Linked DNA regions of Drosophila melanogaster. The protein of the gene in region 2 interacts with the protein of the main gene of each other region in a pairwise test. Each region holds a gene or a part of one and is shown on either strand. Other genes may lie near its edges.

What was found.
Region 1: the proteins of Slc45-1 (region 2) and CG9926 interact in a two-hybrid assay, tested with the Drosophila melanogaster proteins (one large-scale study listed by BioGRID).
Region 3: the proteins of Slc45-1 (region 2) and CG6769 interact in a two-hybrid assay, tested with the Drosophila melanogaster proteins (one large-scale study listed by BioGRID).

What each region holds. Positions count from the first base shown.
Region 1 is NT_033777.3:13,948,541-13,952,812, forward strand, and holds CG9926 (uncharacterized protein), read right to left. Parts: upstream 2,599-4,272; 5' UTR 2,539-2,598; coding exon 1,843-2,538; 3' UTR 914-1,842; downstream 1-913. Other genes in the region: CG31517 (uncharacterized protein), read left to right, coding at 295-458, 543-570.
Region 2 is NT_037436.4:9,202,542-9,210,667, reverse strand, and holds Slc45-1 (solute carrier family 45 member 1), read left to right. Parts: upstream 1-1,814; 5' UTR 1,815-2,695; intron 2,696-2,787; exon of another isoform or gene 2,788-2,843; intron 2,844-4,054; exon of another isoform or gene 4,055-4,362; intron 4,363-5,148; 5' UTR 5,149-5,167; coding exon 5,168-6,570; intron 6,571-6,895; coding exon 6,896-7,070; intron 7,071-7,130; coding exon 7,131-7,352; 3' UTR 7,353-7,603; downstream 7,604-8,126.
Region 3 is NC_004354.4:17,859,154-17,863,735, reverse strand, and holds CG6769 (uncharacterized protein), read right to left. Parts: upstream 2,735-4,582; 5' UTR 2,573-2,734; coding exon 2,057-2,572; intron 1,899-2,056; coding exon 1,536-1,898; intron 1,463-1,535; coding exon 1,112-1,462; 3' UTR 961-1,111; downstream 1-960. Other genes in the region: mnb (minibrain), read left to right, coding at 1-116; Arp8 (Actin-related protein 8), read left to right, coding at 3,010-3,014, 3,083-3,668, 3,734-4,582.

The DNA.
Region 1 (4,272 bases), on a different chromosome or scaffold from region 2:
CGGAGTGTCTGGCCAAGTGGACACAGAAGCCGAGGCAGCAAATAAACTAAGTGAATTTATGGCCCCAGGGCAGGAGCGGCACACGTGTGCGACATGCCCACACATTGACACCTACCAATAACCAACTATCAAGTACCGGCCATCCAATAAACGAACTAACCACATACTCCACACACACCACACTCCAATTGGGCTGCAGGTCCCTGGGCGCGTTTTGGATCAGATCGTCTTGGTTCGGTTTTGGTTGGATGTTTTGTTTATGCTGGGCAGGCACAAACGAGCTGACAATGCCCCATGTCGTGGCGACGGTACGTGCGGCCAAACAAATTACAGGGAAATTGCGTCACCTGCAGGAATTTCCACTCGACATTGTCAAATGCCATCAGAAATCGCTGGACATGTTGTAACATTAATTTGACATTTTACGGCCCAGGACGGGGATCGTCGACGGGAATGAGGTATGTTCAGGCCATCGAGTAACCCATCCCATATATCCATCCATATGCATATCGCACGGCGAACTACTTAACAATCTGGTCCAGACCGCAGAGCAACGCAGGACAACGTTAAATCCACCAGCAGACAGCTGTCGAGATGACCAAAGATGCTGGAGCCACCAAGGGATCTTGCAGCAGCATCTCGGTCACTCGGAAAAGTATGAGATACACTGAGAACACGGTCTACGAAGGAAGCACACAACTGTGGCAAGGATTGCTGAAGGATTCGCTTTCATGGCTATACACATACGAACGATGATGCTGTAAATATGAATAAAATATATATATAAATGAACCCACCTACTGATTTTCCTTAGTGCACCTCCCGCTTCGGATGCAGCTCCTGGCGTTTCGCTCTGCCAGCTGGTGCAATCTGTTGGAGCGGCGCAAATGCATCTCTGGCATTAAAACAAATTGATGCGGTCGGGAAATCTCATTGCCGGCTTAGTGAATCTGATTTGCGGTCATCGGTCGTCCTCTCGTTAACCCAGATTCGGATTCCCGTGCTTGGTTCTACAGATGCCAGGCTGCTGCTGCTGCTGCGATTAATTTGCTGCGGTGGCGATAATTTGTTAATCGAAGCATCCTCATCGCAGCTTGCACTTCGTCCAGAAAGTTCTTGTAATCCTCCGCGTGCTCTTCCTGCTCCTCCTCCTCCAGTTGCAGCATTGTCCAATTAAATCAGCCGAAAGTAGGGTGGGAATCTTCGATGTTGATTCTGCTGCGCGGCTTGTTGGTTTAATGGCCGGCGTTCTTTTACGACGGCATTTAGCTAAACTATCCAGCAAACGCCTCTGGGGAGACTCATCCCGGGGGTGGCTGCCATGATGGCTGATGGGTGGTGACCTGACCATGCTGATGGTGCAGCATTTAATGCGGAAACGTGCGCCCAAAGTCGAGCTTCGATTAGCGCCCAGCCTGACTGGATGATGTGTGGAGGTCAGCAGTGGAGGATCACGCAACAGCCATTATGGCCAGAGGCACGCCCACGTCTTCTTAATGGCCCGCCAATTCCCGAAATCCGTTTTGGTTGAGTCAAATCATGTTGTGTCCTAAAAAGGGAGTTCTTAAATTTTCATTACTTTGATTTGACTCATCTACTTTAAGGAATACAAGTCAATGTTTATAATAAGGTATAATGTTGATTGGTAACAATATAATGAGTTTAGTTCTGTTAAGTTTAAGTACATTTTGATTGACATTTTATTCAAATTACGATTTTGTTTGCATGTCAAGGAATGAAAATACGCGTAAGTACTTAATACAAAAAAGTGCTACATTTTGTGTGTGCAAACAAATCATTTCGTCATAGTTTGTAGAATCCAGCTCCTGATTTTTTTTTTGACTAGCGTCGCCGTTGGCATGTCATGTTAATTGGAGTATCCATCAGTTTCTTCGATTTCAGAGAAACTATCTGAGCCATCGAGTAATGCCGTTCGGAGACCTGCTCCTTCACCACCTCCGAATTTGATTGATCCTTCTCCTCTAGCTGACAATTCGAGGCAGAATCCTCTGAATCCTTCTCATGCTCCTGGTTGCTAAAGATCTGCCCCAGTGAATTTAGCTCCACATTCTGCTCCACCGCTACCTGTTCGTTGACATCCTTCTCCGCCACCACCTGTTCCGTGGCAGCCTGCTCGTCCAGTAGGTTGCCCAGATCTTCGGTAACCAGGTACTCCAGTCCCAGGTCCTCGGCGTTAATGCAATCGCCGTTGTTCACAGCCAACTGCTGGTAGTAGCCATAATCTTTATCCGGATTGTCGAATGCCTCGCGTGCCTGTAGCATGGAGGCCCGGAAACTTGGATTGCAGACGTGTCCCTTTTGCTGGACCACTCCAAGTCGATGCAGATTCTTCTCGTAGTCGACGACCTCTTTGCGAGCCACTTTGGCGTAGTTGCAGCTTCCATAGAAGTAAACACTATATGCCGTGGCACCGATGCGGTTGAGGATGCGGCCTGGCCAGGGGCGATAGCGGCGCAACTTGGCGAACACAAAGTCGCCAATGGTGAAATTAGGCATCTTGGCTCGGCGACGTCCCATCTTTTTCACTCGACTTGGCTAATTTTTGGATTAAAATGGTTTTTACCAAGTGATACTTTTTAAAGTTCTCGAAGAAGAAGAATATCGCTTTCATGGAAATAGCACAGTGATGCCAGATCAGCGCAGATCAGGCTGTGCACGAAAGTTCGTGGCAGTATTGACTAACGCTAGAGTTTTCAAATATTTGATTTATTTTTATGATTTTTTATATATTTTTAATGTGTATATAAGCAAACTCATGCATTCATAGCATTAGATTTTCTTATTTAAAAAAAACAATGGAAAATTTGTTGGTCTTAAAAGGAACTGTTGATATATTTTGGAAATGCATTTTAAGATTGTATAAAAAATCGTTTTAAATAGTCGACATTTATGCCACAAAACAAGCTAATTGATAGGCCTTAATAATGAAAATAAAAAACGAATAAATATAATAAAAATATATTCTCACTTTGATCATGATTACATTCAAAACAAACCCCCCATTCCGAATGGCAAATGAATTTGGGTCACTTTTGGTGGGCGGGCAATGTTTCTTTAATGAGCAAACAGCATTTGCATTAATGGTCATTTGCGTAGAAATTTGCACAACACGCTACCTGCACTTGGATTTGAAAACTTATTCATTCTGCACCTTTGCGAGTGCGTGTGCAGTTCTGTTTTGAATTTTCGCTCACGTTCGCCGTATTATGCGCAAATTGGCTTTTTAAATTGTCGACTTGTTTAAGCTAAACGCAGCTACACTTTATGGCCATGTTCCGTGCTGCATTTTAAGCCATGCGAAATTCCACTAAGCCCTACCACTCGCCTACCTACCCACCACTCCATTCGCTTAACTCAATTATAATAATTTTAATTTAGCACAAGCAGGGTCTATAAAATGGCAAAATTGCATTATTTACCAGGCGTAATTACAACAATATTTATATGCTAATGAGCCCGTCACTTTGCCCCTAACGATGGGAAATTAACCAGGCCAAAGTTCTGGGAAATGGTTGTTTCACTGCTGAGCAATCATTTTTATTCTAGGGTATTCCGCGGCTGTTCCGACGACCTCGTCCGCCTGACAGTGCACAGAACTCGGAATTCAATTGGAAAATGCAATTTACGATCGGGCCACGAGACCCACAGCACTAATACCCCACAGCCCACATTGCCCCGCCCCGACTTTTCCTGCATTTTCCTGCACATTAAGCCAGCTGAAGGCAGCAGCGGGGCGATGGGAGGCTTAAGCTACGCATGTAATTTGTAAGTAATTTTTTCAACTATCATCGCACCAGACAAGCGACAGCCACTGCGTCGACGGCCACGCACTTTTACAGAGAGAGAAAAAATAGTTGGTCGAAGGAAAAGTATTTAAGAAAGTACTCATTTAAATCTTTGAATGATAAAAATGGTATATAGTTGAGATCCCATTCAAATGGCAATCGTTTTTCATTCATTATGCACATTTTCTTAAACCAAGTAATTCCTTTTTTTCCTGTGCAAGCCCGAAATGGATTACAATTACAGGTGATTGGGGGAATGGAAAAGCCGGGCCAACGGGCACAAGCCAACGCGTTAAGTTGGTGAAATTAAGTAACGAAAGCAGCGAATAGGATTGGGAATAGGAATGGTCACGAGAATGGGGAATGGGGGGAATGGCCATGGAAAACGACGGGTAGGCATAAATTATGAATCATTTGGACGCTTCCTTATGACACCAAAAAGGCCAGAAGTAGTTACCTAGCCAAG
Region 2 (8,126 bases):
TAGGCTTAACCACTATTTTTTTTTTTTTACATAATTCGCTTCGCTTTATTTGATGCCACACACAGGCTTCAATTCGAGATCTTGTCTCTGGCAAAAATCGCGGGTTTCCGCTAATAGTTCCTGTCAACGAGTAATCAAGCATATACATATATCCCAAACTAATGCAAACATAACCCTCGAAATCTGAGAATCCGAATCTGAACAATACAGCTGGCACAAAAAGTGAGGCAGCGGTGGGGGAAAAAGTTGTCCGTCATTCTTGGGGGAATATTTTAGCATCTTGATGAGGCCGAAATGAGATGGAAAGTTTGTCATAAACGGTAGTCAAAACACGAACAAATACTATCGTGTTATACGTAAATAACTGCTTTGTATATATAAGGCTGATATTGCCATTTCAAGGCATCCAAATGTATAATTTGACTTGGAATATGTTTATTGTCTGGCAACACGAGATATGGCAAACAAAACTTGTACCATTCCATCGTTAAGTAGATTCTAAACGGTTGTTAAAATAAAATCCGAGGTGAGATACTGGAGCTGTTACTACATCGTAATGATTCTTTCAAGTGCATCATAACAATAATCTCCTTTGGATGTACAATAATGTGGCTTCTGAACAATGTTCCCACCTTGAAGAAAATTATAGCCGAAGTCTGCAGTAAAATGCCATATTTTCAATGCCACACCTATGGGTTCGATAAATGACCATTAAAAGATTTTATTGCCAATTAATTATAGTCACTTGACTAATTCGCCTTTCGAGTGTTTCTGGCTGCTGAGATTTGATAACCGTGCGTCCACACCCCGTGTGTGATAACGTCAAGAGCTAAATAAATAAACCGATAAACAAACACTCGAAATCAAGTGGAATTTCCCAGCCTATGCGGCCAGTGTAATCTAGGATTTCAATCCACCCTTGGAAAATCACTCGAGAATCACTGTGCATATTACTACATCCATGAATGCCTATGCTATGAAACCTGTCGCCTGTGAAACAAGTTTCATGTGTGTTCACTGTCGTTCCCGGTGGCCAGAAATTCAGGTGAGCAAGAGTGTTCCACTTAGATGCTCAGAATCTACAATCACCTGCAGCAGGGCTAGATCAAATGTTGAGCTAGGTTGGCTCAAGAACCAGGAACTGTGCTAATGCTAATTAATAATTAACATAATTACACACAGATTGTGCTATGTCGTCAGACAAAATGCATTGCGAATGAGCTGAGGCGAGGCAAAAAAATAAAAAACACCTAATATCAACATCAATATTTATGGCAAGATTTGTGTGCAGAGAAAAAAATGCAGACCATTTAATATCTAATATTTATAATAACTAGTACATGTTTATTCATTAGGCTACACTCAGCTAAAGTTCTATCTTCATGCAAAAGTATCTTAGAATACTCATATAAATTCACAGAAAATAATAAAAAAAAAAATATTATTATTAAAAGTAACATAGTGGAAAAATTTAAGGATATTTGTTTATTAATATAATAAGTCTTAGAAACAATTGAAAGATATATATATCTTGGTGCATTTTGATAACTTGCCATGGAATAGTACTTATCTTTTCTCTCTGTGTGGCCACTGCTCCTAAGACAAAGAAAGGAAAGGCTCGACCGGACCCGATGCGATAAGACGCCGATCGGAGGGAGAGTGAATATGGCCCGCGATATGGAGGCCCGATCCCATGAAGAGTACTCTGGGATGCGAGAGAGAGAGGCAGAGCTATGGTAGACCGAGCTGCCGTCACATATGCCGTATAAATTGCTGCGTCCAGAGGTCCACCATTCAGTCGCAGAGCGAACCAGAGCAGACCAAGATCATCTCGAGCAGTTGTCCGAAGGCGATTTGGCCATCCAAAAATAGACCAAAGTCATCGAAAGTTGAGGCACCGCAAACAAAAAGTTCTGCAAAAAATAGAACATAAATTTTCCATTTCGTGCGTATCGATTCGAGGGACATAATTCGGAACTGCGCAGTTTGCCGGGAAATTGCGAGGAAAACTCTTCTTTCATGTCTTGCCAAAATCTTCGCAGCGTTCAGGCCAAAGGAGTAAACAGCTGCCGCGCTCGACAAGCGGCAATGTCAGCAGTTTAATAAGAAAGTAAAAATCATACAACCAAACGAATAACAAATCCATCGGGCAACGAGCAGATATAAAGTAGATATATCATTAAAATTGATAATAATAATAATTCGCCAAAGTGCAAGTGAATCGAGAGCGACAGAGAAGAGTGCGGAACAACTTTCCGCAGGAAAACAAAAACAGGAGGACCGAGACTGGGGTGCAAAAATTGATTTCGTTAGCCTTTTGCCAACACCAATTGCATGGGTAAAGTTATGAGAGTGAATTCATTATCGCCGCCCGCCCACAACTGCCACGCCCACGCTCGCTCCAAGCAACAAAAGCAGAAACAATTGAAATTAAAGAAAATCGAAATATATTTTATGTTCAGCAATTTGTGCAAGCGAAAAACTTTAACGGAGTATAATTTATTGACACTAAAACAAAGTCGGGATAGTGAGTGAAGCAAAGCGCTTAAACAGTGACAGTGATCGTTAAAACTTTAATCAACATAAAACATAAGAAGAAAAATTAGTCACATTTCGTAGCAAAAATAAATAGTTAGAGGAACGATTGCGTGAGGAGCGTGGGCTGTCAGCAGATCAAGGATTGCCACACATACAGGTGAGTTTGAGCCATTGCAGTGGATTATTTATTATAGCTAATAGTAATTATATAACTTTATTTGACTTTTATGGTCCTGTGCTTTGTGTTAGAGCTACTAAAAACTAGGTTGAAAACTAGAACTCTACAAGTGATACTTTTTATGCAAGTAAGTCCTTCTTTTATAAATACGAGCCACTTAAAATTCCAGTTTAACTTATAGTACTTGCAATTAATAATCAAATTACCCGAGTGTATCGAATTTCCTAAATACCTTATAATCGAATATAAGACGTCAATAATTAAATAGCCATATCCACAATTTCCACGAAATAAAATAAATTTCGTTAGAATTTTCTCCCATAATTAAGGGAGCCATAATAAAATAATAACACGGTTCATGCCTGTTCACAATAAGAGGATCAATTACGCCTCAATTGTTGGTTAAATAAACTGCCTATGTGCTGAAAGCAACCAATCTACACCTATATGTATATGTATATGCATATTTGTATGTATATCAACAGCACAGCCGGGTTCACACCCCCACAATAAAGTAATATGCATTTTAAGCAGCAGCAGTTTAATAATAATCATGTTAATTACAAAACGGTTTAATCGCCATGGAACCAGCTACGAGAGCAGCAACAATGGAATTCATCCGATTATTTCGCCGAAGACGTGTGAATTTAACATTGTGATATTTTGCTAACGGATTCAGCTATCTGAATGTTAACTATTTCCTCAATAACTCCCCGATATGACCTTGACCCCTTTATATGAAATGTTTTCGAATGATTCACTCAGGCCCCCGAAGAGTTGTCAACTGCGGAATGCTTATCAGGTGACTTCCTAATCGTAACAGGCAATTAAAGCCACCGGCTACTTAATTAATGCCCCAAGCTCATCATTTTGTTGCTATTTTGTTTATTTAAACATTTATTGACCTAGTCTGCGGCGATTTAATTACCAGCCGCCGTTCGTTCGTTTATTTTTTTTTTCCGAGAATATTTATACATATTTAAGTGCAAAAAGCGTCGGTCATCTAACCGTTGGCCCATTGGGGGGATTGGATTTGAAATTCCAGGAGAAAATAAGAGTAGTACAGTACTGTATCTACTACACCCACATGACCTGCAACTTGTCTCAATTACCACGAAAGTGTGACAATGTGAATGACACTCGAGCCGGCGGCGTACAAATTAGATGTTTTGTATTTTAAATTTATTCGAGCTTTTATTATGATTTTATTATTCTTGTTGTTAGTGCTCACGTATGGAGCAGATAGGTTTTGGTCAATGGCTCAGAGGCAACGCTCGCCAGCCAGACTATGTGATTAAAGATAGAGAAACGCGGAGACTCGCAGATTCGAAGACCCAGACTCAGTTGCGATTTGGACACGCGACGTTTTGGTTGTAGAAAAGTTTTTGGTGCCGCCTCGCCAATAGCCGTTTAAAGATCAACCGCAAAGATACAATTGAACCCAATATAAACCGCTGATACGTCAATTTGCAAAAGTGTTCGCCTGCAATAGTTCGAAAATGTGGCTAATTGTCAAGTTTAAGCAAAAGAGAAACTGAGTGAAAGATATTTGCAAAGTGTGATAATAGCTGAAATACTAAAAACCAAGAAGAGTGATCAAATTAGTTCAAATACAAAATAGTGATATTAGACAATTAGGAAATTAAGTAAGTTTATCGATGCTTTCCGATCAAAATGTGATAAACAACTATATTCCACAAAAATTTGATACTAACCCACATAGTAACAAAGCGCAGAAAGGGTCTTTTATTTGTGTATTCCGATTACACGACTAGGTTTGTGAACCCATTTCGGGGCTTACACTCGACTTCGATTTCGATTCCGCTAACCAGATAAGCCTTCGAGTGACAATTCACTCTCGTTTGTCTTTCGCTGTGATTGAATTTGTTTGTAAACAAATAGCCATCGTTCAGGGTTCGCACTCTATAGGCAGTGACACAAATTGCGAGCCGCAGTGCAATTGAATTGGAATTGAAATTCATATTCATTTTCATTTTCATATTTATATATTTCGCCACTGCCGCGTGGCCGCGCAGCTCAATTAATCAGAGATCTTTGACGCTTCTTCGACGTGCCGCACCAGATCCAGATGTTTCCACATTAATGGGTTCAATATCTCTGTTCTCGGGGTGCGATGGCAAACAGCACGATCGTCGTTTGGTAATTAAAGATTGAGATAGCGAAATTAATCCCAGATGTGACCCAATCGATTAATGTGTGGCTGCACCCCAGCAGTGGAAAAGTTTAGCAAAGTCGGCAACATCATACGAACTTTTTGAATCAAAATTGAGAAGATTTTATTTCCATAATATTACGGATGAATCCCGGCTTTGATTCATAATTTTTGATTATGCTTCTTTCTGTAATTTTTATTATAACTTAACCTAATGTAACATCTTCTTATATTTTACTTATATTTCTCCCTTTTACAGTCAGTAAGACCGGATCAAAATGGTTGGAGTTACTGCCGACGCCTCGCAGGCGAATCAGCTGTCCTCGGTCCGGAACCCGATGATCAAGTACATGCTGAAAACACGGGAGAATCATGCTCGGGAACAGGATCGCGACTACTCGCATGTCTTCCGCCGGAAGACGCGGTTCGAGATGTTTCGATTGTCCGCCATCGCCATGGCCATTGAATTTGCCTATGCGGCGGAGACGAGTTTCGTCTCTCCGATTCTCCTACAGATCGGTGTGGATCACAAACACATGTCCATGACCTGGGGACTGTCGCCACTGATTGGATTCTTTATGTCCCCGCTGCTGGGAAGTATTAGCGATCGCTGCAAGCTTCGTTGGGGTCGCCGACGTCCAATTATCTCGATTCTATCATTTGGCATAATGTGCGGTTTGATTCTGGTGCCATATGGCAAGGATCTGGGTCTGCTGCTTGGCGATGCCGGATATACTTATGCAGAGTCAGCCTTGAATTTCACATCTTCGTCGGGGGGATCTGTGGCTGCTTTGGTTTCGGGTGAAGCGACGACAGGACCTTCTGCATCCGACTATAAGTTCGCCGTGATCCTTACGATTTTGGGCATGGTCCTATTGGATTTCGATGCGGATACCTGCCAGACACCGGCTCGCACTTATTTACTGGATATGTGTGTGCCAGAGGAGCAGCCGAAAGCCATGACCATGTTTGCGCTCTTCGCGGGATTCGGCGGCACGATTGGATATGCCATTGGAGGAGTGGATTGGGAGACAACGCATATTGGCAGCTTCATGGGTGGCAATATACCCACTGTATTCACCCTGGTCACCATCATATTCGCGGTGTGCTATCTTATCACGGTGACCACATTCCGTGAAATTCCATTGCCCTTGATCGAGCAGGATGAGCTGCTGAGACCGCTGTCCGAACAGGCCATCAAGAAGGAGTTGAAAAAGAAGAACAATACCATTTACTATATCCAGGAGACCACACAGCTGGAGCTTCAGATGGCCAGTGATGATCCCAAGCGATTGGAGGCACTGCAAGGCAGCTATCAGAATGGCTATTCACCCGCTGTGGAGAAGCAAGGGAAATCCCAGGATTTGGAGACCCAGTCGGATTACGATGCTCCCGTCTCCCTTAAGGCCTATCTCAAGAGCATCTTCATCATGCCCTACTCGATGCGCATGCTGGCCCTCACCAATCTCTTCTGCTGGATGGGCCACGTCACCTATTGCCTGTACTTCACGGACTTTGTGGGTGAGGCAGTTTTCCACGGTGATCCCACGGCTGCTCCCAACTCGGAAGCTGCTCTCAACTACGAGGCTGGAGTGCGATTTGGTTGCTGGGGAATGGCCATATACGCATTTTCCTGCTCCATTTACTCGCTGTCGGTGACCAAGTTAATGAAGTGGTTCGGGTAAGTCGGCACACTACTAAAAATGCCATCGGAATTTGTTTAAGTGTAAACATCATTTTTCTTGCTTTGGTCAACAAATAGATTATAAAGACAAATTCAGATCTTGGTATTAAACAAATGAGGTTTTTCATTGACTGTTGGCAAACAGTGTACGAACTTCTAGTTGCAAACTGTCAAGTTTACCTTTAAAATTCTTAAAGACAGTAGCTTTGATTAACCACCTGAGCTATAATATGTTGACGTCTGCTTCCAAATCGAATATCTAAAAGAAATCCAAATGTATTGAATATTATATGTTAACCGTGATTATCTCGCTCTTTTTTAGAACCAAGGCGGTTTACATTAGTGGAATGATTTACTATGGTATCGGAATGCTTGTCCTGGGCTTGTGGCCAACTAAGTGGGGAGTCTTGGTATTCAGCACGTCAGCTGGTATTCTGTATGGAACCATTTTCACGGTGCCTTTCATATTGGTGGCTAGATATCATGCCAAAAATTGTGTAAGTATACTTGTAAGACCTTTAAAATTCAACTTCTTAATCAAAATATGTTAATTTCAGTTCTCTATTAAGAATGGAGAGATAGTACCACTGAAACAGGCTCGTGGATTGGGCACTGATGTGGCCATTATCAGCAGTATGGTTTTTATTGCCCAGTTGATTGTATCCCTTTCCGTGGGTCCTTTGGTATCCTGGATGGACACAACTTGTGCCGTGCTCTACGCCTCGACGTTTCTGTCCTTTTTGGCGGCCATTGCAGCCATGTTTGTGTTATATGTCTAGGAATATAAGGATATAGCGAACAAGTGTCCAATATGAACACAAATGTTACATGATTTTACGTAGCGTAAATGTATCTAGTTGAGTATCTTTGCCTACTTTCTGGCAGTATCTGCGACTGCACTCACAATGTTGTGGCATACTTTAAGGATGAAGCGTATATTGTACTTGTATTCATTGAACATTTAATTTTTTTTTGTAAACTGCATGAATTATATGAATTTAAATTAGTGAAATACATTTATTTCTACCTTAAATGACCCCTTCTTGACTCAAGGAAATTTATATCTTTCAGCAAAACAATGAGCTTGAGGGCGGATATTAGTTTTTACGCTCGTGCGTGGCATTCAAATGCAATTTTTAATTTCCTCAAGTGCACTTTTTTTCCCAGATGCTGCCAATTTCCTTAGCAGCTGCACATGCCACGCCCCTCACCACCCCGCCCTGTCCGGGGCTTTCTTGTAAGTGTCAGAGACACATTTCCGTTGTCGCCTGAGTGATAAATAGCATTTAATAATTTTCCGTGCGCACATTTCAGGTTCTCCACTACGAATAAAGCAATTAAATTCTCCTTTCTTGGCGGTGCATGCTTCGTATTCCAAATCGAGTTGAAGGTGGTCGAAAAGGCTATGAATGCATAAACAATAATTGTGGAATAAGAAAAAAGGTATATGGCTCATTGAGTGACGAGAGCATAAGTTGTGGGGCGGGTCGTAAAGGCAGGTGTCTTAATAAAACTAAAGGAAATACGGCAATGCTCACATGCAGAAACAATCG
Region 3 (4,582 bases), on a different chromosome or scaffold from region 2:
AAAGTGTCGGCAGTGGCAGCAGCGGCTCGGCCACCGGAGCCAGCAGCAGCGATGCCTCCTCGTCGTCACCCATGGTGGGCGTTTGTGTTCAACAGAATCCTGTAGTTATACATTAGCATAAACTGGAAGCAAGCAAAGAACGTTGGATGCTCGCTTAAAACACTACTTTTCACGCCCTTTGCCGCTCTCTGCTGCTATTTATTGCACCGCCAACCAACGCCTCCACCCGCCCACAAACCAAGGAACCACAAATTCACCAACGCAGCAGCACCATAGTTGGTCGGTAATCGGGGGTCTTGTCCACACGTTTTTCCAATTTTACATACCATGTACGATGTACTTCGATGTACATATACTACTAATTTTGACGAATAATTGTTAATATTTTCATCTGCGCTTTTGTAAGATCTTAAGTGAAGAAAATTTCTGTTCTATGTAGACAATTTTAAATGAAAATTCTTTTAATTAGCGATTGTGACAACGTGACTTCAATTGGATAAATAGCGAAGATCATTTTGTTTTGTTTGAGTGGTAATAGTCACACTTTCAGCTTTTCCTGAAAAGAAGCTGAGATTCTTGGTTCATTGTAAGACAAGACGCCCGATGAAGATCACTGCAACACAGACACATGTCCAAAATAAAAATACATTAACATTAACTAGCTGAAATTGACCCTCAGGTCCCACGAAACACACGAAAACTCACTCACCTGCGGTTCTTACTGATTAGTCACTTCGAGCTCTCACCGCCGCGCCCACAGCACCGGCCACGCCCCCAGTCGCCCGGGATCGGGGAGGGGATGCCGTGTGGGCGCCTTGATGGATTCGGCAGAGTTTATTTTTTTACACGCTAGAACCTATTTTTTTTTTTGGTCTAATTATAATGTTTAACTTTATGCAGTAACCGTAACGACATACTTTTACTTTATATAAACGAATCAAAATTAAACTTTATTTAATTGTTAATTTAAATTATGTAATTTTATTCGACGAGAAATCGCTAGTAATATAGAAAGCAAACAAATATGCTTAATTTAAGCAAAACTCAAAAACTTTTTATTGTACAAGTAGGGGGGAGGCCAATAGCATTTGGAAAGAAAAGCAAGCGATGATTAGATCAGAACCTGTGCACGATAGTGCTTCTGCAGCTTATTGGCCTTGCAGCCGAGCTTCATCTGCCACTTGGACTGGACGCGCTTCATCAGATGAATGTCGCGTGCCTTGCGGGCGGCGGACAGCTGCTGCGTTTGCGTCCAGCCCAGAGCCCGGTACTCGCTGAGCACGCGGTGCAGTTTGCGGTCGGACTTCTTGATGACGACGGCGCGTTCCGGACGAAGACGCTGCTTGTAGTAGCGAAGCAGGGAGCGATGACCAATGACCGCGCCTGAGGGCAGCACCAGCTGATACTCATCGCCATCGAGCAGATCCGGCACCACCTCTTCGTCAATGTCCATGCCCTCATTCTGTGCGGGTTAAAAGGTTTTCCAAGATTCAGTCAGCATAAATGGAGGTTTGCTTGTGCTATGTGATACTCACATTGTCCGGATAACTGCTGCTGTAGTCGTAGTATTCGGCATACTCGGCCAGCGCCACACCCTCGTGCAGCATCTGGCAGTGGCCCTTGTCGATCATGTGTTTGCGCACGGCGTCCAGGGAATAGAAGGTCTTGCCGCGATCGTTGCAGAACAGGCAGATGAAGTAGTTGGCCACCTTCTCGCCCAGGTAGTACAGAAGGCCCTCGATGTCCGTGCAGTACTCGGTGTCCGGAATGAAGAACGAGTGCGCCACGGACATGTGCTTTAGGTTCTCCACCAGATCCTCGCTGGCATGTGTGCAGAACAGGCAGTCGCGCTCGGTCAGCGGATTCTCGGGTATCTTGTCCCACTCATCGGAATCCACCTGCAAAAAATCAAGTTGTTCTTTATAAGAAGCTGTATACGTTGTAAAGGTGCATATCTTAACCAGGCATAGAATCTCCAAGGAAATCATTCTCAAGGTAACCCTTCTATGAGCAAGGAAAAGTCTAATGCGAGCTCTATCTGCATAGCGCTTCCTACCTCCTCCTCTTCAATGTCCTCGAAATCATCGTCGTCCTCGTCGACCATCTCCTCGTCGTTATTGGCCTTGACCACCCGCTCCGCGAAGGCCAGTCGACCCTTGCCAGCGGCTGCGGCGGCCAGGGCCGGATGGGGCCGCTGCTCCACGACGCTGCGCGTGCACACGGATGTGGCGGTGCTGGCGCTGCCGCCGCTAGCTGTCATCTGCTCGCGCTCGAAGCGGGCCAGCAGCTCCTTGTGCTTGCGGCTGTTCAGGTGGTTGTCGTGCGCCTTCTGGCTGGCGAATTGGCGTCTGCAGGCGTGGCAGTAGACACTTAGGTTCTGCTCCTCGAGTGCCGCGTCCGTGGCGCTGCGGGCGCTAAGAACGCGCTGCTGGAACTCCTCGGCCGTAACGGGCGGCAGCTGGGCCACCCTGCGCTTCAGATTGTAGCGATGCCAGTCGGTCTTGTAGTGATTCCGCTGCACATCCGCGCTGGCGAAGCGGGCATCGCAGTTCAGGCAGGTGAAGTGCGACATTGTGGCGCTGAGTGGATTCGATGATCGCTTGACTGGCACTCTCGTTTTCGTTGGCACTCTGGAATGGCGTATTTCACAATGGAAAGTAAGGCTGCTCAATTTAATGGTGATGATTAAAAAACAAAACCACGTTCTTGACAGTGTGACCAGACGGCACTCACGTCGGCACCATCCACACACAATATACTAAACAAAGAATTTGTTATATGTTATATATATGAGTGCTTTGAATTTCAACAATGAATTAATAGTAATTAATGAAAAATGAGTTTTGTAAATCAGCCCTATTTTTTTATTACTTTAACTTTCTGTTTTTCCTGTGTTCCTGTTTTATAAATGTTCTCATTTGCGCACCACGGTCACATTGGCTTTGTTGCCATTTGTTGTTGCCTCCGATTTCCGCATTTTCAAAGGATCCGGATTTCGGAAAGCAAACGATGCAGTAAGTGAATAAGTAAGTGGTATGTGAAGCAACTAATTTTGCAACTTGGCTACTCTCCCTTCGTCCAGACGATCCCGAGCCAGCAGCACCAGCAGTGGCCGGCATCCGGCGCCGCCGCCAATTGGGCTGCCCCAGCCGCAGGCGCAGCCACTGGAGGCGCCAAAGATTATCGTCATCCATCCTGGATCGCAGCACTTGAGGATCGGCAGGGCGGCCGACCTTAATCCGCTGACCCTGCTGCACGCGGTGGCCTACAGGAGGCGTCCGGGGGCCAGCGATAGGCCGCATCATGATCCGCTGCTGCCGCCGCTGGACAACGTCAACTCAAACTCCGGCCTGATGGTGGAGTTCGAGGAGCAGCGCCTGGTGGTGTCGCGCATTCTGCAGCACTGCGTCGTCGATAACAAAAACCGGTTGCGGGTGGCCACTCCGCCGCAGCAACTGGCCCACTTCAACCGGAGCAGTCAGGCGGAGAAGGTGCCGGCGCCCAGTGGCCAGATGGCGGACGAGCCCTGGCTGGATCGCGAGGCACCCGTGCTGTTCGACGACCGTATCCTGCGACTCGGTGCTGTGGATGCCCGCAACTACGACATCCATTTTCCCATTCAAAGGGGCGAGCTGAATGTGCACAACGAGAAGGGCGGCTCGCTACAAGTGTGTGCTGCGTTGTTCCTCGTAGTTTCCAAACTAAACTGATGAAGCTGTTTTTTTTTTTTCAGGCCAGCATGCAGCACTTGGAACGAATCTGGTCGTACGCCCTGGAAGAGCGTCTGAAGATCCCGCTGCGTAAACTGGGCACCCACTGCGCCGTCTTGGTGGTCAACGATGTCTATGTGCGGCGGCATCTGCGCGAGTTCGTGACCCTGCTGCTGAGGCGTTTGGGCTTTCGGCGCTGCTTCCTCGTCCAGGACAGCGTCGCCTCCACCTTTGGCGCCGGCATTGGGTACGGCTGTGTGGTGGACATTGGCGCCCAAAAGACCTCCATAGCCTGCATCGAGGACGGAATTTCGCAGCTGGATGCCAGGGTGCGGCTGTCCTATGGCGGCGGCGACCTGGATCAGGTGCTACTCCTGCTGCTGCGAAAGTGCGGCTTTCCCTATCGCGAGTGCAATGTGCAGGAGAGCTATGTGGATGCCCATCTGCTGGACGAGCTGAAGGAAAAGTTTTGCCACCTGAACGCCAGCGTTTGTGGCGCCCAGGAGAAGCACTTCAACCTGCGCAAACATAACGGCCAGTGGCTGCGCTACACCATACAGGTGGGCGATGAGGCCCTAATGGCGCCACTGGCCCTCTTCCACACGGAGCTGTTGAACATCACGGGCCGAACGAAAGCGGTTTTCACACAGCAGGCGGTGCAGGACCAATACGACTGCGAGGACTGCTTCGATGCGGAGTATCTGAAGGAGACGGGTCGAAAAAATGGCGTAAGGGGTGGCGACATCTTGCAGCTATCCACCAGCGCCGGATACCAGCCGCGGCCGCAGCTGCCTGTGACCGCCGACGATGAGGAGCTCATTGTGGTGGATCAAGACGAGACCATCAGCAACTGTCAGTCGCAGCTGGGTGCA